Linked DNA regions of Oryctolagus cuniculus. The protein of the gene in region 3 binds, or shares a complex with, the protein of the main gene of each other region. Links are inferred from orthologs where the notes say so. Each region holds a gene or a part of one and is shown on either strand. Other genes may lie near its edges.

The links.
Region 1: POLR2K (region 3) and UBTF share a complex: the UniProt entries of both Homo sapiens proteins name them as parts of the pol I pre-initiation complex. The link is inferred for Oryctolagus cuniculus from reciprocal best matches to the Homo sapiens genes POLR2K and UBTF.
Region 2: POLR2K (region 3) and RRN3 share a complex: the UniProt entries of both Homo sapiens proteins name them as parts of the pol I pre-initiation complex. The link is inferred for Oryctolagus cuniculus from reciprocal best matches to the Homo sapiens genes POLR2K and RRN3.
Region 4: POLR2K (region 3) and POLR1C share a complex: the UniProt entries of both Homo sapiens proteins name them as parts of the pol I pre-initiation complex. The link is inferred for Oryctolagus cuniculus from reciprocal best matches to the Homo sapiens genes POLR2K and POLR1C.
Region 5: POLR2K (region 3) and TAF1C share a complex: the UniProt entries of both Homo sapiens proteins name them as parts of the pol I pre-initiation complex. The link is inferred for Oryctolagus cuniculus from reciprocal best matches to the Homo sapiens genes POLR2K and TAF1C.
Region 6: POLR2K (region 3) and GTF2F1 share a complex: the UniProt entries of both Homo sapiens proteins name them as parts of the TBP-based Pol II pre-initiation complex. The link is inferred for Oryctolagus cuniculus from reciprocal best matches to the Homo sapiens genes POLR2K and GTF2F1.
Region 7: POLR2K (region 3) and GTF2E2 share a complex: the UniProt entries of both Homo sapiens proteins name them as parts of the TBP-based Pol II pre-initiation complex. The link is inferred for Oryctolagus cuniculus from reciprocal best matches to the Homo sapiens genes POLR2K and GTF2E2.

The regions. Positions count from the first base shown.
Region 1 is NC_091448.1:19,038,723-19,042,758, reverse strand, and holds the start of UBTF (nucleolar transcription factor 1), read right to left. Parts: upstream 2,801-4,036; 5' UTR 2,556-2,800; intron 1,992-2,555; exon of another isoform or gene 1,862-1,991; intron 1,543-1,861; exon of another isoform or gene 1,404-1,542; intron 341-1,403; coding exon of another isoform or gene 1-340. Other genes in the region: basic salivary proline-rich protein 2-like, read left to right, coding at 1-340. UniProt on the Homo sapiens protein: Recognizes the ribosomal RNA gene promoter and activates transcription mediated by RNA polymerase I (Pol I) through cooperative interactions with the transcription factor SL1/TIF-IB complex.
Region 2 is NC_091450.1:18,578,551-18,582,050, forward strand, and holds part of RRN3 (RNA polymerase I-specific transcription initiation factor RRN3), read left to right. Parts: coding exon 1-93; intron 94-2,897; coding exon 2,898-2,954; intron 2,955-3,500. UniProt on the Homo sapiens protein: Required for efficient transcription initiation by RNA polymerase I (Pol I). Required for the formation of the competent pre-initiation complex (PIC).
Region 3 is NC_091437.1:125,592,326-125,596,528, reverse strand, and holds POLR2K (DNA-directed RNA polymerases I, II, and III subunit RPABC4), read right to left. Parts: upstream 2,801-4,203; 5' UTR 2,098-2,800; intron 1,503-2,097; 5' UTR 1,494-1,502; coding exon 1,433-1,493; intron 1,138-1,432; coding exon 1,045-1,137; exon of another isoform or gene 1,014-1,044; intron 419-1,013; coding exon 396-418; 3' UTR 65-395; downstream 1-64. UniProt on the Homo sapiens protein: DNA-dependent RNA polymerase catalyzes the transcription of DNA into RNA using the four ribonucleoside triphosphates as substrates.
Region 4 is NC_091436.1:126,548,517-126,552,591, reverse strand, and holds the start of POLR1C (DNA-directed RNA polymerases I and III subunit RPAC1), read left to right. Parts: upstream 1-1,275; 5' UTR 1,276-1,336; coding exon 1,337-1,405; exon of another isoform or gene 1,406-1,436; intron 1,437-1,516; coding exon 1,517-1,588; intron 1,589-1,885; exon of another isoform or gene 1,886-1,952; coding exon of another isoform or gene 1,953-2,033; intron 2,034-2,776; coding exon 2,777-2,884; intron 2,885-3,093; coding exon 3,094-3,226; intron 3,227-3,448; coding exon 3,449-3,568; intron 3,569-3,650; coding exon 3,651-3,803; intron 3,804-3,957; coding exon 3,958-4,075. Other genes in the region: protein YIPF3, read right to left, coding at 1-65, 238-435, 948-1,028. UniProt on the Homo sapiens protein: DNA-dependent RNA polymerase catalyzes the transcription of DNA into RNA using the four ribonucleoside triphosphates as substrates.
Region 5 is NC_091449.1:65,920,049-65,924,187, reverse strand, and holds the start of TAF1C (TATA box-binding protein-associated factor RNA polymerase I subunit C), read left to right. Parts: upstream 1-1,339; 5' UTR 1,340-1,506; intron 1,507-3,471; 5' UTR 3,472-3,472; coding exon 3,473-3,610; intron 3,611-4,139. UniProt on the Homo sapiens protein: Component of the transcription factor SL1/TIF-IB complex, which is involved in the assembly of the PIC (pre-initiation complex) during RNA polymerase I-dependent transcription.
Region 6 is NC_091447.1:60,706,499-60,709,858, forward strand, and holds part of GTF2F1 (general transcription factor IIF subunit 1), read right to left. Parts: intron 2,463-3,360; coding exon 2,269-2,462; intron 933-2,268; coding exon 762-932; intron 1-761. UniProt on the Homo sapiens protein: TFIIF is a general transcription initiation factor that binds to RNA polymerase II and helps to recruit it to the initiation complex in collaboration with TFIIB. It promotes transcription elongation.
Region 7 is NC_091433.1:80,680,211-80,683,710, forward strand, and holds part of GTF2E2 (transcription initiation factor IIE subunit beta), read right to left. Parts: intron 1,957-3,500; 5' UTR 1,953-1,956; coding exon 1,787-1,952; intron 1-1,786. UniProt on the Homo sapiens protein: Recruits TFIIH to the initiation complex and stimulates the RNA polymerase II C-terminal domain kinase and DNA-dependent ATPase activities of TFIIH. Both TFIIH and TFIIE are required for promoter clearance by RNA polymerase.

The DNA.
Region 1 (4,036 bases), on a different chromosome or scaffold from region 3:
GGCGTCCTCCCCAGTGCCCCGGTCTGCTCGCGTCCAGACCCTGCTCGGAGGCCGCCCCGGGTCTGCGCCGGGGTGTCCGCCGCTCCCGCGGGTCTCTCCCTGGCCGCCCCGGCCCCGACCCCCAGCGCGCGCCCTCAGCCGCCTCGGTTACCCGGCGCAGCGCGACCTCCGGGCTTCCCGCTCCGGCGGCTCCCTCCCCGGCTCTGAGCGGCGGCGCCCTCCCCCGCTCGGCCGGGCACAGCCGCAGCTCCCTCCCGCGGCGGCAGCGGCTCCTCCTCCGGGCGCGGTGGCGGCGCTGGGGCGGCGGCTGCTGCTGCTGCTGTGGCGGCGGCGGCTGTAGCTGCTGCCTGCTGCTCCTCGCGGCGAAAAGCACAAAGCACAGCGCCCTCCGCCTGCAGGCAGCCCGCCCGCCGCCCGCCCGCCGGCCCCGGCCTCAGCTCGCACACCCCCCGCCGCCGCCGCAGCCTCCGCCGCCGGAGCGGGGAGGAGGAGGGAGAAGGGAGGAGGAGGAGCGGGAGGGGGGGCGGGAGAAGCGGGGCAGCGAGCGCGTCCTTCCCCGTAGAGCGCACACCGACCCCCGGGGAGCGAGCGCCAGCCCGCCCGCCTCGCCGGCTCCGCTCCCTCCCACAGCCTGCCCGGGCGGGCTCCGCGGGGGGCAGCTGGGAGGAGGGGCGGGAGCTGGGGGGACCCGGGCGGCCGAGGCGGAGGGAAGGAAGGAGGGGAGGGGGGTGGTGGTAGTGGTGGTGGTGGTGGCGGTGGCGGCGGCGGCGGCTGCTGCTGCTGCTGCCGCCGGGGAGGGGGGGGGGCCGGGGCAGGGAGACACGCAGCCGCCCGGATGGCGGCGGGGCTCGGAGCCGAGGCGGGCGGGCGGGCGGGCGCCGAGAGCGACCTCGCCAGACCCGCGGGGGAACTAGCAGGCTCGGCCGGCGCGGGAGGGAGGGCCGAGGCGCGGCCGCGGAGAGGGTGCCCGGAGGGCCCCCCGGCGGCCGAAGAGGCTCGGGGGTGCCCGCAGTGCAGCCCCGGACCTCTCCTCCACGGCCTCCCAGCCCAGATCCGGCCTTCCAAGCCGGCCCTCTCCCGCCTCCCGGCGCGGGCGGTTCGCGCCCACCTTCCCCAGAGCGTGGCTACTCGCTCGGGGTGCCGATCGCGGTGCCAAGCTTCGGCGCCTACTTCGCCGCCGAACGGCACACGCGAAACTCGAAAAGCAAAATATCCTTGCCAAGGGGGAAAAAGAAATTCCCTTCGCTCCTTACACCCAGGAAGCGGCGAGGAGCCACGGTGGGAGCCGGTTCAATCCAGCCCGGCATGGCTCCCCAGGCCTGCCTGGGCGCATGGAGATCGGCGGCGCGGCCGCTCGGAGCAACCCCTCTCCCCCGAAATCCGTGGCGCCGGGGCTCACTTACCGAGCGTGTGGATGGGAGCGCGGGCCGGGGACACCTGGGGGCGCGGCGGGCCGGAGAGCCGAGCCGCAGCTCCGCCGCAGCCGACTCCGGGGCAGCGAGTCGCCAGACAAAGCCCGAGATGGCGAAGCGGAGCGACGGCTAATGGCGAGCCCCACGCGCCGCGCTCCGCCCGCCCCGCTCCGCCCGCCCGCCTCGGCGCAGCGCAGCGCCGCTCCGAGCGCTCGCCCGTCAGAGCCGCCTCGGCGCCGCCGCCTCCCGGGCCACCGCGGCCTCGCCTGGCCCCTCCGCCTCCTCCGGGTGGCTCAGCCTCACCCCTTCCCTCCCACCGCTCTCGGGGCTGCGCGAAAATTGGGGGGAAAAAAAGGAAAAAAATTTTTTTCCTCTTTTTTTTTTTTTTTTTTTTTTGCAGGGCGGGAGTGCGGAGACTTTGGGTCTTTTTGCCCCCAGCTCGCACTCACCTGCGGAGCCGCCGGGAGGGCCGGGGGTGGGGGCGCGCGGGGCTGGAGCCGGCGAGCGCGGGTTGAAAGCCAGCCAAGCTCTGCAGCGCCCGACCCGGGCGTGTACGCCGCCGCCAGTCCCCGCAGAGAAATCGTCCTCCTACCCCCGCCTCCATCGCTCTGCGTTTCTCTTCCAATCAGCCGGTCGCTTGGCGGCTCCTCCATTCTCCGGCCAAGCCCGCTGCCTAGAGCGAGCTCCACTCCTCCATCTGCTCGCCCGGCTCCTCGCTCCCCTGCCGGGGCCGGCGAGGCGCCGTGGGGCGGAGGGGGTTTTGCGAGGGAACCTGCCCGCTCCCCGCTCCCAAGGCTCCGGCCCCGCCGCCGCCCGCCTCCTGCTTCTCTCCTGCGCCTTTCCAACTCTCCCCTGTCGCCACTGGCGTGTGTCTGAGTGTGTGCGCGGTTTTTCTTTTTCTTTTTTCTTTCCTTTTTTTTTTTTTTTTTTTATTGCTCTTTGCTTTTGCAACCCTGAAGCCAAAGCGAGGGGGAAGTAAAGGGGGGGGGGTGTTATAAAAAAAAAAAAAGAAAGAAAAGACAGAAAGAAGCTCTTAGATGAGCCATCTCGGAAGACCGGAGCGGCAGCGCTCCTCGCCCGACCTCCGAGCCCCGCGGGGCCGTCCCGGGTTTGGAGCGAGCCTCCTTCCCAGCGCCCCCCCACCTTCGCCGGGCTGAGGATACGTGGAGTCCGAGCAAAAAGTTCTCCCCTCGGGTCGTCGTGAGGGGTGGCAGGGTGGGAGCTGGGAGGTTTCCAAAGCAGCAGCAGCCGTCTCTCCTACCCGGCTTCGGAAGTGGGCCGGGGTGGGAAGCGAGAGCCAGGTCCCGGCGGGCTTACGCGGAGAGGCTTCCGGGGGCCCAGTCGGTACCGGAGGCCGCGCCGCGCGCATCTCCCCCTCGCTCGCCGCCGCCTGTCCCCTGCCAGCTCCCCCTTTAATTTTTTTTTTCCTCCTCTCCCTTAATCTAATTTCTTCCAACTCCACCTTTGTTGTTACCGGCGTCACGCCCGGACCAGCCAATCCCCGCCACGCAATCAGCTTGTCAAAAAGGCTCGACCAGCCCGGGGAAAGCAGGCCGCGGGCGCTGCCCCCCGGCGGCGGTGGGGAGCCGCGAGGGGCGCCCGGCACCCGGGCCGCGCGGGCCGCGCAGAGCGTCCGGCCTCGGCCTCCGCTGCCGGCGCCGGGGTTGTCCGACTTTGCCTTCTTAGCTCCGGGGAAGTGTTCTCAGGGCAGGACGCAGGGAGCCCGCGGACAGCCGAGGGCGCTGGCTTGCGGCAGGCCGGCCCACGGCTTGGCCCTTCGTCCGGGACAGCGCCATGACGCCTGGCTCCCACCCCGGCCCCGCCGCTGCCCGCGTCTTGTTCCGCTGCGTCCCCGGGCCCCTGTGGGCTCTTGGCTGGCGCGCAGCCTCCCTCCCTCCTCGCACGGGCTCTCCGCCGCGGTAATTCCTCCTGCCTCCTGGGAGAGATGAGATTCCTTTCCCAAGACTCCTGCCACGGTTCTCGCCTCGGGAGGAGGGCGCCGCCGGGATCTGGTGTGTCTGGGTTTTTAGCGGGCAGGACATGAGGAAGATGCAGACTGACCATCATGCGAATGAAGTTGAAGCTTTAAGGCCTGTGCAAGACCTTGGACTTGACTTTGCATCCCGTAGTTGGTTCTTTTTTATTTTTTTGGTTAAAGAGCACTCCGACCTCCACAGTTCACCTGCAGGCCCTCACACTTGATCTGCCTTTGATTCACTCTGGGGACATTTTATGCAGGATCAAGCCATCTCAGGCTGCACCGAAATCGGGGCATGGAACCAGTTGCTATTTCTGACAAAGGCTTTGGGATCAAAAGTCCTAACTTTTTTTTTTAATAGTGTGAGTGTTTGGGCAAGTTTTAACCCCACCTGATCCTAGTTTCCGTATCTGTGGAATGACAACAGCAGCCTCACCAGGCATCCGAGGGTCAATGGGAGAAACCTAGACCCCCAAGAAGGTTCCAGATCTGCCACACGCAGGTCTGGAGTCCAGGTGTCTTGGCTCCTGGCCCTGAACTTCTTGGCTGGGTCAAGGGGCTTTTCGGTAAAGTGCTTCGGAATAAAGCAGGATGAACGTGAATCATAAGAATGCTTGTTATTGATTCCTTGGGCAGCAGAACTGCT
Region 2 (3,500 bases), on a different chromosome or scaffold from region 3:
CTTGCATTAGAGAATGATTTCTTCAATTCTCCTCCAAGAAAAACTGTCCGATTTGGTGGAACCGTAACAGAAGTCTTACTGAAATACAAAAAGGTAAGAGGAGGTTTGGTTTTTGTTGGTCAGAATACAGTTATTCTAGCATTTTGTTCAGGACTAGTAGATACACTAAAATGTGAGATACCAGTATTGAAATAAAAAACTGCATGAAGCCTTATGCTCAAAATGAGAGTGATAATGTCTTTTCTGAGGTTTCTCCTCTTCAAATGCTTTATTTACATAGTATCTTTTTTTTTTTTTTTAAGATTTATTTATTTATTTGAAAGGCAGAATTACAGAGAGATAGAAGCAGAAAAAGACAGAGGGCTTCCATCTGCTGGTTCACTCCTCAAATGGCTGAACTGGCTGGATCTGGGCTGATCTGATGCCAGGAGCCAGGAGCTTGTTCCTGATTTCCAATGTCGGTGTAGGGGCCCAAGCACTTGGGACATCTTCTACTGCTTTCCCAGGCCATATCAGAGAGCTGGATCAGAAGTGGAGCAGCCACTTGAACTGGCATCCATACAGGATGGCGGCACTGTAGGTGGTGGCCCCTTTTCACAATATTTTTAAGACTTTAGCAACTGCTCCAATAAAAAGCCATTAGAAGATTTTATTTCTTAAGGAATTACATAAGCATTTTTGTTTATTTGTTTTTGTGTTAGCTTACAAGTAATCCTACCAAATCTCAGCAGTAAGGAGAAAACGTACATAACTGTACATTTATATATAATATCCACTTATGTCCATGCATGTGAATAGATCCTGTCTTAGTTCCCAAAATTAGATCATCACAACAGTTTGTTTTTAGTTTTTAAAAATTTTATTCTTGGCCGGTGCCGCGGCTCACTAGGCTAATCCTCCACCTTGCGGTGCCGGCACACCGGGTTCTAGTCCCGGTCGGGGCGCCAGATTCTGTCCTGGTTGCCCCTCTTCCAGGCCAGCTCTCTGCTGTGGCCCGGGAGTGCAGTGGAGGATGGCCCAAGTGCTTGGGCCCTGCACCCCATGGGAGACCAGGATAAGTACCTGGCTTCTGCCATCGAATCAGCGCGGTGCGCCAGCCGTGGCAGCCATTGGAGGGTGAACCAACGGCAAAGGAAGACTTTTCTCTCTGTCTCTCTTTCACTGTCCACTCTGCCTGTCAAAAAAAATTTTTTTTATATTCTTTAAAAATGTATTTTCATTTTATTTGAAAGAGAGAGAGAGAAAAACACAGAGAAATATCTTATCCCCTAGTTCACTGCCCCAAATACCTGCAATAGCTGGGGCTGGGCCCGAACAAAGCCAAGGTGGCAGAGACCCAGACACTCGAGCCATAATCTGCTGTGTTCCAGATGCACGTCGCAGAAAGCTGGATCAGAAGCAGAAGAGCCTGACTTGACCCAGGCGCTCTGACGGGGATGTGTAAATCCCAAGCAGCGACTTAAATGCTGTGCCTTTCAAATGCCTAACCTGCAGCAGGTTTTTTTTTTCCTTTGAAAAATAAATTTATTTATTTTACTTATTAGAGATAGAGCTCCCATCTGCTGGTTCACTTCTCAAATGCCTGCAATGGCTGGGGCTAGCAGGAGCTGATAACTCAAAAGTAGGTCTGCCATGTTGGTGACAGGGACCAATCTACTTGAGCTGTCACCTGTTCAGTTTTCTTCTCATTTTTTGAAACTCGGGAGTATGGACTATCATAAACAAATGCAACTAAATATAAAAGGCTTTATAGTTGTTTATTTTTTCCAAGCCTCTGGCTCCACTAACGTGCATTTAAAATTTTTTGTTTGATTTATTTATTTGAAATGCAGAGTGACTGAGAAAAAGAGATTTTACATCTGCTGATTCAGTCCCCAAATGACTGCAATGGCCAGGGCTAGGCCAGGACAAAACCAAAAGCTTAGAACTCTAGCAAGGTCTCCCATGTGGGTGGCAGGGGCCTAAGTACTTGGGACAACTTCCACTGCTTTCCCAGGCTCATTGGTAGGGAACTAAGACAGGAAGTGGGACAGCCTGAGACTTGAAGTACTGTGGTGTAGGATGCTGGCTTCACAGATGTCAGCTTAACCCCCTGTGCCACAATGCTGGCCTGCCTTTTAAAATCTTGTAGTCCTGGGGCTAACACTATAACACAGTGGATTGAGCTGCCATCTGCAATGCTGGCATCCCATGTGGGTGCCAGTTCGAATCCTGGCTGCTCCACTTCTAATCCAGCTCTCTGCTAATGTGCCTGAGAAACCAGCAGAAACTGGCTCAAGGTATTGGTCCCTTGCAGCCATGTGGGAGACCTGGATGAAGTTCCTGGCTTTTGCCTGACCCAGCCCCAGCTATTGTTTCTATTTGGGGAGTGAACCAGCAGATGGAAGATCTCTCTATCTCTTCTCTCTATAACTCTGCCTTTCAAATAAAATTAATCTTTAAAAAACTTGTGGTCATGAATTCATAATCTGCAACTGATGGATGAAACATAGAATGTTATTTTTCAAAATTGAGAGGCCGAGAGAGAGTGAGCTTCCATCCCCTGGCTTACTTCCCAAATGCCTGCAGTGGTCAGGACTGGGCTGAAGCCAGGAGCAGGAATTTAATCTTGGTCTGTCTACTTTTCGGGTGGCAGGAACCCTTTTGAACTATCACTGCTGCCTCCCAGGGTCTGCATTAGCAGGGAGTTGGAGTCAGGATCTAGAGCTGGTGTTGAACCCAGGTACGCCACTATGGGATGGGGATATGCATATCTAAACCAGTGTCTTAAGTTGCTAGGCCATCTGCCCGCCCCACAATGCTCCTTTTGTAATTTCATCAAATGTTAAAGTATAAAAGTCTTGCTGTTGATATTTAACAGGAAACCAAAACTTCATTTTCTCCCCATTCTTGTTAAGGGTGAAACAAATGACTTTGAGTTGTTGAAGAACCAGCTGTCAGATCCAGACATAAAGGTAATTAATTTTTTATTTGATTCTTAGCAAAGTTACTGCTATTTTGAACAGACATTAGTTTGTACTTTTGGTCCTGTTCTATCCTCCAGACCTTTCTCTCCGTTATTCTTTCTGGATTTACTCCTCACTCAGGGCCGTTTACCCGCTAGGGGACATTTGGTGATGTTTGGAAATGTTTTTGTCTGTCACAATTTGGGAGTGGATTACAGGGATGCTGCTAAACCCTTTCTCACCATGGACAGTGCAGCCCCAGCAACCAAGAATGATCCAGCCCCATTGCCAGCAGTACTGAGGTTAGGAAACCCGGCTTTAATCCTTTCTACTTCCTCTGCTGTCTGCAACCCTTGTCTCTCCAAGCTCAAACCAAAAACACATCAAGAGCTAACTGGGCTTCAAGCTGCTAGTGCTTCAGTGTTTCCAAGGTCAAGTTGTAGCAACTCAGTGCGTTTTGTTTCACCCCTCTTTATTGCCCAGTTTTGGAAAGCGGTTTGTTGCTATGACAGCGGTAGATTACCTGGGATAAAACCTCAATTCATTGTTATTGTT
Region 3 (4,203 bases):
GCAAACACACTGCTACATTCTGTACCAAAGACACTGGAAATTTCACAAACATCTCATGACACAGTGATTTCCAAGGAATTTATTTAATTAGACTTTCAGAGGGCTCTAAAAATCTGCATTTTTCACAAAGACCCCAGATGATTCTAGGTTCTGCTTGCAAGCATAGTTTAAGAAAGTAATTTTAACCTTCATTTGTGTCACATTACATAAACAATAAAATTAAATTATAAGTCATGTAATCTAACTTCTTTACATTAAAAGATACCTAAATACAATATGGTTCAAAATGAAATCATACGTAGTTCAAAAAGATGCTAAACCAAAAGCCATACAACAATGAGAAACATTAACAGCAAATGCAAGTACAAATGAAGATATTCCTCTGAATGCACATTTCAACGCGCATCAAAGACCACCACTGTATTCATCTGAGTTAAGGAAAAAAAAAATGTAGTTGAAAATTACAGAAAAAGACTGAAGACTTCCAAATCACTTTACATGTGCAACAAGCTAGTTTGTTAATTTAAAATGCACAAAGACCTGGAATTCACTATTTATTACAACAACTAGATATAAAGTAAATAAAAGCTTTCAATTTTTATTAGCACTTTTCCCAACCAATGAAAAAAAACCCAATGTATCAAAAAGCACTGAATGCTAAAGGTAATAACTTGTGATTTTAAAAAAGTTATGTTAGAAAATTACAACTCACTCTCAGTGTTTAGTCTCATGTGTTGGCTCCACTTTTTCCTACTAAGTAGCATACACAATATTTGTATTACTCCTTGTATAATTTATTTGTCAAGCTGAACAATCAGTTCTTATGTAAATACAGAATCTCTGGAAAATAAACTTATGAGAATCAAAATCAACTAGTATTTCAATTATTTAGTGCTTCAGTTCTTGTCTATGAAAAATGCTAATAATATCTCTTTAATTAATCCAAAGTTCTTACGGTTTCTACCAGAAGTAGTGTCTATCAACCCCTGCATCACTCTACAGTTGGCTCCTACCTCAGATTTTAAAAGTAGAGTTAAAGGATACATCTTTTTGTCCTTTTCTTGTACATTATTCTGTATCCACATTCTCTGCATCTGATTGGATCCCTGGATTTTATTTCATTTTCAGTGTGACATTCTAGGGAGAAAAAAAAAAAAAAGGCTTACTCAAATTTAAAAGGAAAACAGTGCAGACAGGCAAATTATCTTAACCATATCAGGCAAGGGTATGATATTACAAAATATACTAAATGGGAAAGAAGAGAGTTGTGGGCAATGCTGTTTTTCCAGAGCAAATAAGAGTTTTAAGTGGTGCTACGAGGCGCTCCTTTATAACTTTAAACACCAATGACTCATTCATTCAAAGGATAAATGTAATAATTTCAAAAACAAATTAAGCAAAATACTCTTACTTTATGTAGCGTTATCCTTACCTCCACAAATATATATCATTGGCTGCTGCTTTGGGGGCTGAACGTCTTTCTGGGCGTCCATTGTCAGTCCCTGCAAACACAGAATCAAATCCTCAGTATTTCAAAGGGGTTCCTCACAAACCCGAACAGCCCTCCCTCCCCTTGTTTTTTCAGGAAAAACTGAAAGAGATCCCAGTTCCCCCTCATCTGCGCTCTTCTCCGTGCCTGGGAGTTAGGTCTAAGGGGCAAACCACACAGACACACACAAGTACTGAGAGTCGACCCCAAACTGGGCACGACAGAAAATGATCCGCATTTTGTTCCTTCATTATAATCTTCACAACAACCCTCAAGTGTCACTCCTGTTTTATACACGAAGAAAGCGAGGCTGAGAGATACTAGTTTGCGCAGGCAAAAGGATTCAGATTCGGCTCAAAACTCGAGTTCTCATCTAACACATGAATATCCCTCCAAAACGGAACAGACTAACCGCCGGGAAGAATACTAAAATAATTCCCAATGGCTAAACAGCTCAACTAAAAGAAACCAGGCAAAGCACTGACGGCACCAACTCCTCCACCAGCATCTCCTGACTCTAACCTCGCACTGGACCTTCTTAGCCCCCAAGTGTCTTTCTGGTTTGGCTCAAATACCCACACCTAAACCCCAGCCCCATAACTCCTTACCTGCGTAGAACGGAGAAACTCCGCATCTGCTCCCAACACGCAGTGTCGCTGTCAACTTCCGGCGCTGGCTTGTGACGCAAGACGAGCACCGCCCCTTCCGCCCCGGCCCGGCCCGGAAACCGAGTTTGCGCAAGACTCTAAAACTAGTTTCTTGCTCGCAACGGACTCTGTGGACATCAAGCACATTTTTTAACACTTAGCTATTCTCATTTTTCAGGAAAGAAAATCATTTTAACAGTTCTTCAAAGGAAGTTTGTATTTCTGACTCGTGAGATTGGCGGAAATGAACGCTTTTCCGGAAGGACCGAGACTAAGAGGGACGGAGGTGACAAGTGCCGGTGGAATCCTGAACGCGCCGTTCCTCTGATGACTTAGACTCGGTTAACCAGTGATTTTTTTTTTTTTTTTTTTTGTTACCCCGTAGAAAAGCACATTCTAGGCTGTTTTCAGGTTGTTGGGTACCTGTGCTGGGGCTGTGTGCCAGCCGCCTCCCGTCCTTGTCATGCTTGATCGTGTTTTTGCTCTCCAGCCCTTTGCTTCTCCCTCGCCTCCACGCCTGTTACTCGTTTTACAGTGCAGGCGCACCTGCGGGGCAGCGCCCTCGACACCTCGCACTTAAAGCTAAAGGATTTTGGTAGCTTTAGCGGTTCACTGGCCCTCCCTTGGTCCCATGTATTCCTAGGAGAAAAAAAAAAAAAAAAAAAAAAGACGTGCTTGTGGGAGTTGCATTCTTTCAAAGAATATTCAGTGGCATAAATGCCGATTAGATTCGAACATTTACATTCATTTACTTCTTTCACAAAAGATATTTTACTTAGAATAGAAGCAGAGCTAAGAAAATGAAATTATTACAACTTTATAGAAATAATTAAAGATTTATTTATTTGAAAGTCAGAGTTACACAGAGAGAGGAGAGGCAGAACCAGAGAGAGAGGGGACTTCCATCTGATGGTTCACTCTCCAATTCGCAGCAACGGCCGGAGCTGCCCGATCTTAAGCCAGGAGCCAGGAGCTTCTTCCTGGTCTCCCATGTGGGTGCAGGGGCCCAAGGACTTGGGCCATCCTCCACTGCTTTCCCGGGCCATAGCAGAGAGCTGGATCAGAAGAGGAGCAGCCAGGACTAGAACCGGCGCCCACATGGGCTGCTGGCGCTTCAGGCCGGGGGTTAACCTGCTGCGCCACGGCTCTGGCCCCAGAAATAATTGTTAACAGTTATTATAAAGTTAATTGTAGAAGCAGGCTTGCTTCCCCCACATGCACTGTGTCTTTGGTATCTTATTAAGTAGGACTCCATCCATCAACTTGAGAACTTTAGCTTCACCTTTCATTTCCAGAAGTTAAAACTGTGTGGTTGCATCTCCACAAACCAACTTGAGACATTCAACTGGGATTTCCCTGTCTTTCCAGGGGGCAGGAGTTTGGCCTAGCCCAGCTCCACTTCTCAATTCCAGCTTCCTGCTGATGGCCGTCCTGGGAGGCAGCAGTTTCTGGCTCAAGTACTTGATTCCCTCCCACCCACATGGGAGAACTGGATTAAGTGACTGGCTCCTGATTTCAACCAGGGCTGTTGTGTGCATTTGGGGAGCGAGCCAGCTGATTCACTCTCTGCCTCTGTGCCTCTGTAATAAAATAATAGTATTAGGGCCAGCATTGCAGTGTGGCAGGTAGGGCCACTGCCTGTGACATCAGCATCCCATATGGGCAGTGGTTCAAGTCTCAACTACTTCTCTTCCAATCCCACTCCCTGCTAGTATGCCTGGGAAGGCAGCAGAGGATGGCCAACTGTTTGGGCCCCTGCACACACGTGTCAGATCCAGAGGAGGCTCCTGACTCCTGGCTTTGGTCTGGCCAAGTCCTGGCCAGTGAGGCCATTTGGGGAGTGAACCAGTGGATGGAAGACACCTCTCTCTCTCTCTCTCTCTCTGCCTTTCAAATAAATAAACATTTTTAAATGGAGATTTTCACATAAAAAATCAAATATTTTTGGGGAAACAGCAATTTCCTGCTTCTTCCTCCACAAACATGCTAACACAGCATACATATGACCATCACCCCTGTTACAATCAAAGAGAAGCAGTCATTCAATACACGAGTCGCAATAGGCTT
Region 4 (4,075 bases), on a different chromosome or scaffold from region 3:
AGGATGTCGATGTTGGCATACAAACTGAAGGCTCTGGAAGCTTGTCTCTTCCCGGCCTGCCACATCTGAGCGGAGATGCGGGGATGGCCCGTGAGGCTCCTGGCCCTGGGGTCCTGCTCCCTAGCTTCTGTCGGGGTTCTACTGGGCTCCAACTGGGGCAGCCTGAGGTCAAGGTCACCCACACGACTCCAGATCGCGCAGGTATCCTGCACTTGCCAAGGATTCAGCCCCGCTTACCTGGTCAGCCACCTGCCGGCTCAGCTGCCCCTTAAAGCCCTTCATGCCCAGGAACTCCCCATCCTCCTCTTCCGCAGCGGCCGCGTCGGCGTCCACTTCTTCCTCGCGCAGGCGCTGGTGCAGCTCACCCATGTCCTCGAAGCTGGAGCCCGAGGTGTCATCCATGTTCTCCATGTCAATCACGGCAGAGCCCCCACCCTGTGAAGGCAATGCCTCCTACAGTGCAGGCCTTTCTGGTCCCTGCCCCGCTGCTGGCGCCGCGCCTCCGAATCCCCGCACATCAGGCCACTGTCACCCCTCACTTTCTCTCAGAACCCCCTGGCTGCTGGTTCCGGCGCTCTCCTCTAGCCCGAGAAGCCACCTACTTGTCTTCCGCTCATGCCTTTTCCCCACCTTCCCCATCAAAGGCCCCGAGGGTTTGCAAGGCGCAAGCAAGACCATGCACACAAGATGTTTCTGGCGAGTGCCAGCGAATCCCGCCCACTGCCCCGCTTGACCCCGATTGACCTCCTCTTCTGTCTCTCTTCCTAACGCCTCAGGCGCGTCCAGAGACCCGAGGCCCTCCGGCCGGCACTAGCTTCACTGACTTTCCCGTGCACGAAGACCCAAAGGGGAGAGGAGTGTTGCAAATGGAGGAAGCTTTCGGGCCCCGAGGGAGGCTTCCCCAGACACGTCGGGGTGGCCGGCAGCCGAAGCGCTGGGGCCATTACCTGGATGTTTTCTTCGAACCCGCCCCATTCCGGGCCGGCCCCGTTTCGAGCGCCGCCGGCCGGCGCCGCGGTGGCTGCCATGTCCCTGGAGGGCTCCCGTCCCCGAAGCCAGCGCTAGCCCCGCGCGCGGAGGAAGAGGGGGCAGACGTGGGCCTGAGGCACGGAGACGTCCAGGGCCGAGGACAGGCGCCACCAGCCGGAACGCAAAAAAGAGAAACCCGGATGTTTGGCCCAGACAGACTTCCGGAAGTTGGGGACGTGGACGGAGGCGGGGCAAAGTCTCGCGATACGTCGGGCTCCGGGAGGCGGTGCGTTGCCACGGCGACGGAGGAAAGCCGCTAGAACGCACGCGCAGGCGTGAGGCCTTAGTCTCGTGGGGGAAGTCGAAGATGGCGGCGGCTCAGGCCGTTGAAGAAATGCGGAGCCGCGTGGTTTTAGGGGAGTTCGGAGTTCGGAATGTAAGCCTTGTGGCCTTGAGTTCAGAAGGAAGTATGAGAGGGACGGGTCGGGATCAAAGTGAGGGCGGGCTTGGCTTCGCTGCCTCTTCACGGACGGACCCGTATCTCTAGGTTCATACCACCGACTTCCCCGGGAACTATTCCGGTTATGATGATGCCTGGGATCAGGACCGCTTCGAGAAGGTGCGTGGGGCCGGAGTGTGATCGGAGCAGCCCGGGCTTCCGAGCTGCTCCCAGGGGTCACTCACGTGGCAAAACCAAGTTTGCTCAGCATCCGACCGTGTCCTGGGCGCTCCTTGCACACCGGGCTTCTGCCTTGTTCTGCGATCGAGCTGTTCAGGCCTGTACAGGTCATTCTAGTTGGATGCGGTGACGGCGGCTGAGAGTGGGGGTGGGGCACCCCTCAGAGACGGTCTAGACTGGGGCAGAATCATAGGATTCCCTGAAGGAAGTGACATCTGAGTTTGAGCCCTGAACGGTGAGTGAAGGTCGAGGAGGGAGGAGTAAGCGAGCTAACTTGTAAAGACGGGGTGGGCGTGTCCCTAGAATGTCCGAACCGCGCATTATTGATAGAATGTTACACTGGCCTGACGGCGGGCACTGGGGGTTCTTGAGCAGGCGTGACCAGGTGATCCGGTTTGCAGCTTTGGTGGTTGAGAAGGAGGAGAAGGGGCGGGCAGATCGCTAGGCAGTGCTGGGGGAAGGAGCCCAGGAGTGCTTTGGTGAGAGCGGTCAGGACTTTCTGGCTGTGGGAACTCATCTGACGGCTGGCGGTGCCTGGGCAGTGGGAACGATGACCCATTCGGTTCCCCGCGGTGTGGAGGAGCTAGCAGCCCAGGAGAGCGTTCGACAGAATGTGGGGAGTTGTCCATAGTAGTTGCTAAAACCGTGAGTGTGGTTGATGTCACTTTGGAGAGAGACAAGAAGCTGGGGACCGGTAACACCTAGGTGGTGGGTGGAAGGAGACGCAACTCCTCAGATGGAGGACTGGTGCCCAGACACGGAGGAGATGGGGTTTGAGAAAGGAGTTTTTTTTTTTTTTTTTTTTTTTTTTTTTAATTCAATGCCAAATGTAACATTAGTAAGAAAAGAACTGAGTCCTGTCAGCTGGACTAAACTGTATAGAAGTTTCTGCTCTTCATAGAATAGCTTCTGGCTCAAGCCATATTGCATAGGATTTTCAACTAGTGGCATACAAAACTGGGGGCATTGTTCAAGAAACTAAAAGAACAGAGGAAGAAAACATCAAATGAGGCTTTGCTGGGCAGAGGAAGGCTTCTGGGGGAGCGGGGATGTTCCGTGTCAAGGGGGAGCTGTAGCCAGGTCACACCAAGAGCAGGCTCCATCCACTTGTTTTTCCTTTGCCTCTAGAACTTCCGCGTGGATGTGGTACACATGGATGAAAACTCGCTGGAGTTTGACATGGTGGGAATTGATGCGGCCATTGCCAATGCTTTCCGGCGAATTCTGCTGGCGGAGGTATCAGCGGGGCCGGTGACGGCTGGAGCGTGGGGAAGTGTGCCATCACCTCATCTGTCAGTGTCTCAAGTTGCCCCCCCCCCCCCCCCCCGATTTTGTGGAGTGTTTTGCTTTAAGTTTTTATGAGGCATTCTTCTAGGAGTTGTCCATCTCAGGAGGTGGGGAGTCTGCCGGGTTTTTATAGACGGGTAATCCTGGTCTCTGGGTAGGTGCCCACAATGGCTGTGGAGAAGGTACTGGTGTACAACAACACATCCATCGTGCAGGATGAGATCCTGGCTCACCGCCTGGGGCTCATTCCCATTCATGCTGATCCACGACTGTTTGAATATCGGAACCAAGGTGAGGGCCTGGGAGATGAAGCTGTTGGGGGAAGTGGAACCGCTTTCTTCCTTAGTAGATCCTGGGACCAGCTGCCTGGGTTCGAATCCTGGGTTGACTCTTGTGGCCCTGGGCAAGTGACTCATCATCTGTGGACGAGAGGAGCAGCACACGGGTAGCACTCGGCAGTGTCTACCCTGATGCTCACTGCTGCTGTAAGGGCCGCCTCTTCCCTTTGTGCAGGGGACGACGAGGGCACAGAGATAGACACTCTGCAGTTTCGGCTGCAGGTCAGGTGCACTCGGAACCCCCACGCTGCTAAAGATTCCTCTGACCCCAACGAGCTCTATGTGAATCACAAAGGTTAGTGGGCAAGGAGGGAGGCCTGGCTGCTGGCTGTGGGGGCGTCTCGGGGCTACAGCCCTCTGACTTGTCTTCCCTCCAGTGTACACCAGGCACATGACGTGGGTTCCCCTGGGGAACCAGGCTGACCTCTTCCCTGAGGGCACTATCCGGCCGGTGCACGATGATATCCTCATTGCCCAGCTGCGACCTGGCCAAGAGATTGACCTGCTCATGCACTGTGTCAAGGGCATCGGTGAGACCCGTGGGCCGCCTCAGGTGCAGGGCGTAGCTTAGTCGCCGCAGGAATCCAGGGATGCTCCTGACCGGCAGAAGGCGGTGGGCTTGGGCTTTCGCGCTCAGTGGCTCGGGAGAGGATTCCCCCAGGCTGATCTCTCCCTTCCCTGCAGGCAAGGACCACGCCAAGTTCTCACCAGTGGCGACAGCCAGTTACAGGCTCCTGCCAGACATTACCCTGCTTGCACCCATAGAAGGGGAAGCGGCTGAGGAGCTGAGCCAGTGCTTCTC
Region 5 (4,139 bases), on a different chromosome or scaffold from region 3:
ACTTGAACCCGGTGCCCATAGCTCTCTGCTATGACCAGGAAAGCAGTGGAAGGTGGCCCAAGCGCTTGGGTCCCTGAGCCCATGTGGGAGACCCGAAGAAGTTCCTGGCCTCAGTCTGGCCCATCCGTGTCCGTTGCGGCCATTTGGGGGAGTGAACTAATAAATCTGAAAATAAAATACTATAAAAAATGCGTAGGAATAACTTCAACATAAAAGCAAAATAATTTGTCCACACACACACACAAATCCATGCATAGTTTTTTCACAGGACACGTTTTCTGAGGGCTTTTGAGAACCTGGGAATCGATTGTTCAAAGCAGTGTTTCCGTAGGTGTAGTCCCTGGGCCGGCACCATCATCATCGTCACCTGGATCTGTTGGAAAGGCACCAGACCCAATGGATGAGAAACTTGGGGGCAGCCGGCCAGCCACCCAACAAGGCCTCCAGGTGAGCCTGATGCACGCTGGGGGGGAGACCCACGGGGGAGGGTGATGGGCTCAGACTTGTGACTGACGGTGATTGTCCAAGCAAGGCCCCACGGCACCTGGGAACCCACGGGCAAGGTTACCAGACCCAGCCACCAACTGTACTGAAGTGCACCCCAGCTGCCGCCCTGCAGTGTGAGTACGGCTGCCTGAGGCCGTCCCTGCCCGACCGGCCCTGGGAAAGCCTCAGGTACTCCCGGGGCACTCAGACGAGGATTTAAGGACAATCGGCAGGACACCTGCTGACCCAGACGGGGCCCGATGCGTAGTAGGTGCTCGTGTTTGCTGAGCTGATGGACTAACCCTGGGACACAGGGAGCCCATGGGCTGGCGCTGTGGCCTAGCAGGTAAAACCTCTGCTTTCCATGCCACCTTCCCCCTATGGGCACAGGTTCAAACCCCGGCTGCTCCTCTTCCCATCCAGCTCCCTGCTAATGCACCTGGGAAGGCAGCAGAAGATGGCCCAAGTCCTTGGGCCTCTGAACCCACATGGGAGACCCGGAAGAAGCTCCTGGTTTTGGCCTGGCGCCATCACAGCCATTGCAACCAACTGGGAGTGACCCTGAAGATAGAAGACCTTTCTCTCTTCCTCTCTCTCTGTAACTCTGCCTTTCAAATAAACAAATCTGGAAGGAAGGAAGGAAGGTAGAGAGAGGGAGAAAGAAAGGCAGACAGACAGAGGAAGTCTATGAAGCAGAGGCGGGATTCGAACTCCACTCATCTTAGTATCCAGGATTGAGGCTCCATAGGGTTTTAGTATTTTCAATGCAGTGCGCTGTTCCCTCTCCTCCCGAGAGGTGGTGCTCTAGAGCGCGCATGGAGCCGGGCCGGGAGGCGGGACTTCCTGTCTCCCTGGGAACACTTCCGCCCAGACCCGGAAGACCGTTCATTCCTCTGTGTGGCGGGTCCCGGCGTGAGCGCGGTAGCTGGAGCGACGCTTTCGGGTTCTCTCGCGGCGGGAGGGTCTGGCGAGCGTCGCGCGGCGCCCCGTTTCCCGGGCACCCCGCCCCAGCTGAGCCACGTAAGTGTGTGCGCGCAGGCCCGGGGTGTCGGGGGGCCGGGGCCGCGCCGGCGAGTGAGGGGAGGGGCGTCCGGCTCCCACCGCCGCGGCGGCCTGGGCTCTGCGGTGCCCTCCTGGCGTTCCTGCAGGCCCGGCGGGGCGGGAGGCCGGCGGGCAGCGCGCGGGGGCCCGGCGGGGGCCTGGCGGGGGCCTGGCGGGGGTCGTGGGCGCCCTCGGGCTGCCCGGGCTTGTCTGGCGCCGCGCGGCTCCTCTCGCCCCCGCTTGTTCTCGGCTCTGTGTGCGATGTTGTGGGTATGCCCTAGGCGCTGGAGTGAGAGCCTGCCTTCCCTGGGAGCTGTGGGAGGCTCATCTTGTTTATTTGAAAGTTAGAGAAGTCCCCATCCGCTGGTTCTCTCCCCGGACGGCTGCAGCAGCCAGGCCTGGGCCGATCGGCAGCCGGGAGCTTCCTGCGGGTCTCGACCCACGTGGGTGCAGGGCCCAAGGACTGGGGCCATCTCCCACAGCGTTCCCAGGGGCACGAGCAGGGAACTGGATTGGAAGTGGCGCAGCCGGGACACGAACCGGCGCCCCCGTGGGATGCCAGCATCGCAGGGGGCGGTTTTACCGCTCGCCACACCTACCCGAGCATCCTTACGTATCTGCCACAGGCTGCTACCCGCTCTGGCAGGACAGCGGGTGTTTGGGGGAGAACAGAATTGAAGGGGTTAAGGGAGGCTCCTGGACTGGAAATCCAGGCTTTTGAGGTGGGGAGGGCGGGCCCTGGCGCGCAGTTGGAGAGGGGATGTGCAAAGGCCCTGTGGTGAGGCAGAGCCTTAAGGAGTGTGGTTGGAGCCCAGGCACCAGACATGAGCAGGAGGCTTCTCTGTGTGTGACCCTTGACCCGTCAGGGATACAGCCCCTCCCCCTCCCCGGGAGGCCTGGGGGCTTGGTGCCTGCAGTGGGTGCCTCCACCGTTCCCGCCACTGGCGGCTCCTGTCCCCAAACAGTGACGGTGGCAACAGACCCAGCACCTGCCCTCGGAGACGCCCATGCCGGTGCCCGGATAAACAGTGGGGCCGGCACAGGCCCCGAGGAACAGCTGTTCATTCCACGGGCAAGGGTTCCCCAGCGCTGCGCGGCGGGCCGTGTGCGCGGTGCTGAGGGTGCCTGGCCGCCCCGGGGCGCGCGGTGAACTGATGAAGCCCGCTGGGAGTTGGTCTGCAGGAAGGGGTTCCTGCCAAGGCCCCGTGCCGGCGTTTGCTCCTGGGCGCCGGAGAGTGAGGCGCAGAGCTGCGGCGTGGCTCCGGCGCTCGGGCAGCTGCTGGCCTGAGCGGGTCCCCGCGCCCGGACACGGACGAGGGAGGGGCCTGGCGCCACGTGTGCAGCCGCGGGCCCAGGTGTGGGGGCGCTGCTCTCGCTGTGGTGCTGTGTTCATTAAGAGAGGGCTGAGGTGGCGGCTGCTGCTTTGGGAACCTTGGCCTCTCAAAGCCCTTTGCCACGGACTTGCTCTCGGTCAACGCGTAGTACGCGCCCGGGAGGCGCCGGGGGCGGCTGCTGGGCTCGGTCCTGGCGTAGTCCTGGGACTGAGCCGAAGGGGAGGCGTCTGCAGGTGTGTGACCGGAGGCCCAAGGGCGTCTAGCAGCCGGCCCGCTCCTCCTCCTTCGTCCGCTCGCCAAGGTGTCCCTCAGACAGTGCCCAGGGCCCCTGGCAGCTCTCCGCAGGCTGCCTCCCTCCCTGGGGTCAGGCTCTGTCGCTGGCCTCAGGAGGCTCACCTGGCTGCGGGCACGCCCCTCCTCCGGGCCGGGAGGCTGGTTGTCCACCGTCCGGTAAGGCACGTAGCCCTCCTCGGGCCAGGGCTGCACGCGCGCTTGCTCTGTGTCACCTGGTCCTCCCCGGGGAGCCCGGAGGCCGGTGCCTCCTGGGCCGCGCCGGTCCTGGCCAGTGCCGGGTGCAGGTCTGCTGCGAAGGCCGGCGCTTCTTTTCCAGGATGGACTTCCCCGGCTGCCTCCGCCCCACCTCGTTTACCACCGGCCCCCTGGGGCTGAGCGACGGCCCCGACCTGTCGTTCATGTGCAGCTGGAGAGACGCGCTGACCCTGCCGGAGCCCCAGCCCCAGGACGCCAAGGTGAGGAGGGGCAGGAGACAGCCGGGACTCTGGCCGGGTCCTCGGAGTCCCGAGCTGGCTGGTGGGGCTGAGCCCTCGGGGGCTCATCGGTCAGGAGAGACGGTGTAGCAGGGCAGGCTCAGGGTGGCCCCCTGCGAGGGCCCCTCCCCCTACCGAGTGTCTGTGCTGAGCTGTCTCGGGCTGGCGGGCGGCGGAGGGTCCTCTGGGGCTCCCGGAGCAGGTGACGAGGTCTCCTGAGCGGAGGGCAGAGGAAGCGGGACTCGGAGCGGCCGGTGCGGAAGGGGGCTTCCCTGCTGGGTCAGGGTCACAGGCGCGCAGTCTAGAGCCGGCTGTTGGCCTCCACGTCCCCGCTCCTCGCCGCGCTGACAGCTGGGCTCCCTGTGGCTCCGTCTCTTCAGTGAAGCCATGTCGGAGCTCCCGCTGACTGCAGGGTGGTCGTGAGGGCGGACCGAGGCGCTCGGAGACTGGCGTTGCGCAGGGCCTGGCCAGGGGCGCGCTCTGCTCACGTGGCGCACTCTGGTTGTGTCCC
Region 6 (3,360 bases), on a different chromosome or scaffold from region 3:
AGTAGGGGGCGCCGGGGACACCTGCAGATGCATCTGTGGCCTGTGTCACCGCAGAGGCCCCAGGGAGGCGGGGCCCAGCCCTGTGGCCACACACACGCTCCAGTTCCAGTCCCGGCTGCTCCACCTCTGATCCAGCTGCCCGCAAATGCTCCTGGGAAGGCAGCAGAGGACCCAAGGACTTGGGTCTCTGCCACCCAGGTGGCAGAGATGGTGTTCTTGGCTCCTGGCTTTGGCCTGGCCCAGCCCCAGCCACTGGGGCCATTTGAGGAGAGAACCAAAGGATGGAAGATCTCTCTCTGTCTTTCCCTCTCTAATTCTCCCTTTCAAATAAGTAAATCTTACAAAAAAAAGTCACATCCTCAGATGGGCATTTAAAGTGCTCTGGGCTCTGGCCTGATGCCATGTCCCTCAGCCCACGTGCCCCTAACTATGCCCACCGTCCCCAGGGCCTCAGAGGCCCCTCCCAGAAGCTGCTGGAGGGGAGCCCCCAGGCTGGTCCTGCAGGCCTGGGGAAGACGGGGTGGGGTGGGTGGGGCACGTGCTGTTGGAGCACCCTGCCCGGCCACCCCCGGCCCTGCGCGTATCAGCTCTGTCCGTGCTGCCCCACACTGGACTACGAGCCGTGTGAGGGTGGACTGATGTCAGCCCTCCCCCAATCCCCCCCCTCCCATCCCAGCTCCCAGCCCGGGGCCTGGCCTGCAGCCGGGGTCATGCGTGTGGCTGTGCACCCTGGCCCGCCCAGGCCCGCCAGGCCCGCTCACCTCTCCCACTCCTCCTCGGCCTCCTCGGCCGTGAGCGTGCGGTGCCGGGCCAGCGGCGTGAAGTTGTACCAGTTGTGCACAGGGAAGGCCTCGAAGGCCCCGTCGGGGCACTGGGTGAAGATGTAGTAGGACGTGTTCTCCGTCACGCCACCCTTCTTGATGCCCTTGAACCTGCGGGGAGCCTCGGTCACTGCCCGGCCCAGGACACCAGACCCGGCCCCACCGGCATCCCCCATCTCCTCTGGGGTGCCTGCTGGCCCCCACCCTCCCAGTCCCGCCCCCATGCCCGGACGCCTCTGAGTGTGCTCCGGCCACCCAGGGCCCTGTGGGCCCAGGTCCCGGCACACCCTGACAGCCCCTCCCTGAGCGACCAGTTCCCCCTTCCTCAGCCTGCCCCTCTGCCCCTCCAGGGCCGGTCACACAGGTGCCCTGAGACCACACGGTAGCAGTGGGAAGCAGGGTCAGGGAGGGCACCCACTAAGTGCACAGGGCTGGGTGGGAGGGGAGAAGGGCAGGTCCCCAGGCTGGCACCCCCACTCCCCACTGCTGCGCCGGATGTGGGTTAAATGTGTCCCCTAAGATCACGTGTGGGAGGTGGGGGACCTTTAAAAGACAGGGTAGAGGGGAGGCGGCCGCCTCAGTGAGCCCCCCGACCCCCAGGGGATCCAGGAGTGCTGGCTGGAGGCTGGCTGGTAAGTGGGTGTCAGAACAGGGGTGCCCCCCCAAGGCCTGTGCACCTGCCTCCCGGCCATCTCCCTTCCCGTGCAGCTCTGCTAGGCCGTGGGGGCTCAGGGCTTCCGGTGCAGTGCCGAGAACAATCCCGCGCGGGCAGAGCCCCCGTGTCCTCCATTCTCCCGCACACCCCGCACTGGCAGTACCATGCCCCAGCGCCCCCGTGTCCTCCCGCGCGCCCCGCGTGGGCAGCGTCACGCCCCACCGCCCACCTGGCGCCCTCCCGCACGTACTTGCGGCGCCATGTCTTCCTGCACGCCCCGCGTGGACAACTCGGCACCCCACCGCCCGCCCCGGCACACCCTGACAGCCCCTCCCTGAGCGACCAGCTCCCCCTTCCTCAGCCTGCCCCTCTGCCCCTCCAGGGCCGGTCACACAGGTGCCCTGAGACCACACGGTAGCAGTGGGAAGCAGGGTCAGGGAGGGCACCCACTAAGTGCACAGGGCTGGGTGGGAGGGCAGAAGGGCAGGTCCCTGCATCTGCAGGTGTCACTGATTAGCGGGTGCCAGACCCCTGGCTCCACCTAAAGAACACCCGTTTTCTTGTCCCTTTGCGGCCCCATGACCTCCCGCGCCCCCCCCTCCGTGTGGGCAGCGCTGCGCTCCAGCTTCCCTGTGTCCTCCCGCGCGCCCCGCGTGGACAACGCGGCACCCCACCGCCCGCCCCGCGCCCTCCCGCACGCACAAGCGGCCCCGTGTCCTCCCGCGCGCCCCGCGTGGGCAGCGCCGCGCCCCACCGCCCGCCCCGCGCCCTCCCGCGCCCTCCCGCACGCACTTGCGGCCGGCCTTCCCGTTGACCCGCAGCAGCCAGGGCTGGTCCTCGGGCCGGAACTCCTTGAGCACGATGCCGTACTTCTTCCGGCGCGCCTCCTCCCGCAGCTTGCGCTTGAACTCGCTGCCCGCGCCCGACTCCGGCAGCTCCTCCTCCTGGTAGATCTTCTTGTTGCTCAAGTCCCGCTCCAGCCGCGCCTGGGGGAGCAGGAGGCGACGGCTCCTGGGGTGCCTGCCTCGGGTGGGCTGGGCCCCGGGCCGGGAACACCCACCCTGCAGTTCCCCCACGCTGAGCGGCGGGTGCTCAGCGCCAGTCGACCGCAGGGTGCTGGTGCCCCGGGAACCGCAGCAACCCGGTCGTGGTCTACCGCTACCGCTCTCGAAAACCTGCGATTATTTCCAGACTAGTTACAGGGAAAAAAATCTCTAATGATTAAAAAGAACTGGGGCCATCGCTGTGGCCCCAGCAGGTCAGGCGGCCGCTGGCGACACTTGAGTCCACTTCCGATCAGCCCCCTGCTGTGGCCTGGGAAAGCAGTGGAAGGTGGCCCAAGCGCTCTGCACCTGCGTGGGAGCCCCGGATGGAGCTCTGGCTCCTGGCTGCAGCCTGGCCCAGCTCTGGCTGTTTCGGCCATTTGGCAAAGCTGGAAGACCTCTCTGTGTGTCACTCTGCCTTTCAAATAAAGAAATCAATCTGACGGTACAGCAGCATTCGCATTAGGGCCTGTAAGTCGCCTAGAGATGCCAGCGTCCACAGGGAAAGGTGTGCAGCTCCTGGGAAACACTAAGCCCTTTACGGAAGGGACTCGGGTGTCCATGGCTTTGGGGGTCTGTGGTGGGGTCCTGGCACCAACTGCCCAAAGGCTCCAAGGGAGGCCAGGATAGGCTAAGTCGTCAATTTTATTCATTTTCCTTGTATTGGAGAGATGGAGGGAGGGGTAGAGAGGGCTTCATCTACTGGTTCATTCCACAAAGGCTCAAAGCAGCCAGGAGCCCAGAACTGCATGCGGGCCTCCCACGTGGGTGGCCGGGACCCAGGTACCTGAGCCGCCACTGCTGCCTCCAGGGTCTGCACTCACAGGAAGCCGGACTGGGA
Region 7 (3,500 bases), on a different chromosome or scaffold from region 3:
AACTCTCAAAAAAAAAAAAATCTTAAAAAAAAAATTAAACAAAGATCTACCATGTGATCCAGAAATTCCACTCATAGGTATCTACCCAAAAGAAACAAAAACATACATTTATGTTAAGACATGTACAGGAATGTTCATAGCAACATTATTCAAAACAGCCCAAAAGTCGAAATAATCCCAATGTCCATTAACCAATGAACAGATAAATTGTGGTATATTCTTACAATTGAATATTCTAGCAGTGAAATAAGGTATTAATACAGACTACAACATGGATGAAACACAAAAAGAATGCTAAGCAAAAAAAAGCTACAGACAAAAGACCATCAATTATATAATTCTATTTATAGGAAATGTCCAGAAAGGTAAATAAACATAGACAGAAAGTAGATTATTGGTTATCTGGGATTGAAGTGAGAACAGTCACTGCAGATGGCCACATAAGATCCTTAGGAAGTGATGGAAATAGTGTAAAATGAAACAGTAGTACTAGCTGCACAACTGTAAGCTTACTAAAAATATTTGAATCGTACACTTAAAATGAGTGAACCATATGGCATATATATTAAACCTCAAGTTTTTTAAAGCTAATTTTTTTTTTCAGTTGATTTGAAAGGCAGAAACAGATTTTATCTGCTACTTCATTCTCCAAATGCCTTCAATAACCAGAGCTGAGCCAGGCTGAAACCAGGAGCCAGGAATGCCACTGAGGTTTCCCTAGGTGGCAGGGACTCAAGTAGTTGAGTCATTATCCACTGCCACCCAGGATGTGAAGGAAACTAGATTGGAGGTAGAAAAGTTAAGTACTTGAACTGGGAATCTTTGATAATGGTCAAATGTCCAGCCCTTAAGAAACAATAACCTAAATCTTAACTATAATATGAGACTATTAACACTTTAAGAGCTTAAATTTTCTTATCATCCCATCTCTCTCTCTCTCTTTTTTTTTTTTTTTTTTTTTTTTTTTGGACAGGCAGAGTGGACAGTGAGAGAGAGAGACAGAGAGAAAGGTCTTCCTTTGCCGTTGGTTCACTGTTCCAATGGCCGCCGCGGCCGGCACACCGCGCTGATCCGATGGCAGGAGCCAGGAGCCAGGTGCTTTTCCTGGTCTCCCATGGGGTGCAGGGCCCAAGCACCTGGGCCATCCTCCACTGCACTCCCGGGCCACAGCAGAGGGCTGGCTTGGAAGAGGGACAACCGGGACAGAATCCGGCGCCCCGACCGGGACTAGAACCCGGTGTGCCGGCGCCGCTAGGCGGAGGATTAGCCTAGTGAGCCGCGGCGCCGGCCCCATCTCTTATATTTAACAAAGTATCTAAAAAAAACTAACTTAGAACTGAAAAATGAACTCATCATAACTAAATGCCTTTCTAAAAAATAAAAACGGGGGGGGGGGGGGGGGAGCCTGGCACTGGGATGAAAGTGGATTAAGATACAGCCTGAAATGCTAGCATTCCACAAGGGAGTACCAGCTTGAGCCCCGGCTGCTCCACTTCCCATCCAGTCCCCTACTAATGTGCCTAGAAAGCCAGCATTAAGACAGTCCAGGTATGCGGATTCCTGACGTCCACGTGGGAAACCCAAATGGAGTTCCTGGTTCCTGGCTTCAGCCTAGCTCAGCCTTGACAATGGCAGCCACATGGGGAGTGAATCAACGGATAGAAGATTTTTTTCTGTCTCTCCCTCACGTTATCTTTCAAATAGATAAATCTAAAAACAAAACAAATGGGGGAAAAAAAAAAAAAAAAACATGAAAACCCTAAGAGTCCTATACAATTTTACTAACCAGAATTTTGTTTAGAGCCTGATGATCCTCCATGTTCTATCTTTGCCTTCTTCTTCTTCGATGATGAGGATGATGATTCAGAAGATACTGAACGCTTTTCCACTACAGGAGTATTAAGAGCTCGTTTTCTGAACAGCTCCCGTTCTCTCAACAAGCTTGGATCCATAATGCTGTAAAGAATAAAATATCTGTAAGACAAATTCAAGTCACTCAAATCTATATGCCAAATCCAAAGATCAACAAGTTCCTTCCCAAATAAAATTACAATTTATTATTAGTTCTCCGGCATTTACATTTACTCACTTATTCATCAACCCAAAAAACACTTAGTAAGGCTGGCATTGTGTACAGGTTAAGCCACCACCTGCAATGCCAACATCCCACATGAGCACGGGTTCAAGTCCCAGCCACTCTGCTTCAGATCCAGTCCCTGCTCATGTGTCTGGGCCTTCCACACATATGGGAAAACCAGACAGAATTCTGGACTCCTGGCTTCAGCCTGGCCCAGCCACTCAGGAGTAAACCAGAGGATGGAAGATCTCTGTCTCTCCTTCTCTGTAACTCTGCCTTTCAAATAATTTTTTTTTCTTTTTTAAAGCAAAAAGATCCTAGTTTAGCAGGAATAGAGACAATGGCTATAAACAATTGAATGGAAAAATGACCATTTTACCCATATATGGTAAATTTTAAAATAACCACGGGTCATTAAAATTATAGTAGTATAACTTTTTTTTTTTTTTTTTTTTTTTGACAGGCAGAGTGGACAGTGAGAGAGAGAAACAGAGAGAAAGGTCTTCCTTTGCCGTTGGTTCACCCTCCAATGGCCGCTGCAGCCGGCGCACTGCGGCCGGCGCACCGCGCTGATCCGATGGCAGGAGCCAGGAGCCAGGTGCTTTTCCTGGTCTCCCATGGGGTGCAGGGCCCAAGCACCTGGGCCATCCTCCACTGCACTCCCTGGCCACAGCAGAGAGCTGGCCTGGAAGAGGGGCAACCGGGACAGAATCCGGCGCCCCGACCGGGACTAGAACCCGGTGTGCCGGCGCCGCAAGGCGGAGGATTAGCCTAGTGAGCCGCGGCGCCGGCCAGTAGTATAACTTTTTTTCTGAAGATTTAGTTTGAAAGTCAGAGTTCCAGAGACAGGAAAAAGAGATCTTCTATCCACTGGTTCACTCCCCAGATGGCCCAACATCCAGGACCAAGCCAAAGTCAGGAGCTTCTTCCAGGTCTCCCACATGGGTGGCAAGGGCCCAAACACTTGGGCCATCTTCAATTGCTTTTCCCAGGTCATTAGCAGGGAGCTGGACAGAAAGTGGAGCAGCCAAGAAATGCACCAGTGCCCACGTGGGTGGGCTGTCACCGCCACAGGCAGTGGCTGTATCCCCTATACCATGATGCCCACCCGTGGTATAACATTTTTAACCACTGGTTTGACAGAGGTATAAAACAAAGTTTTACAAACTGTATTTGCAGCAATACTGGTACACACAGGCATTTTTTATTTTGGGGTTTCTTTCCTCTTTAATTTTAGCTCCTACACATAATGAAGAACACGTAATATTTATCCTTCTGTGTCTGGCTTATTTCACTCAACACAGTATCCTCCACTTGCATCTATTTTGCTCAAATGGTAGAACTTCATTCTTTTTTATAGCTGAATAATATTTCACTGGGCATATGTACCACATTGTCTTTATCTAGTCATCTGATGGACACC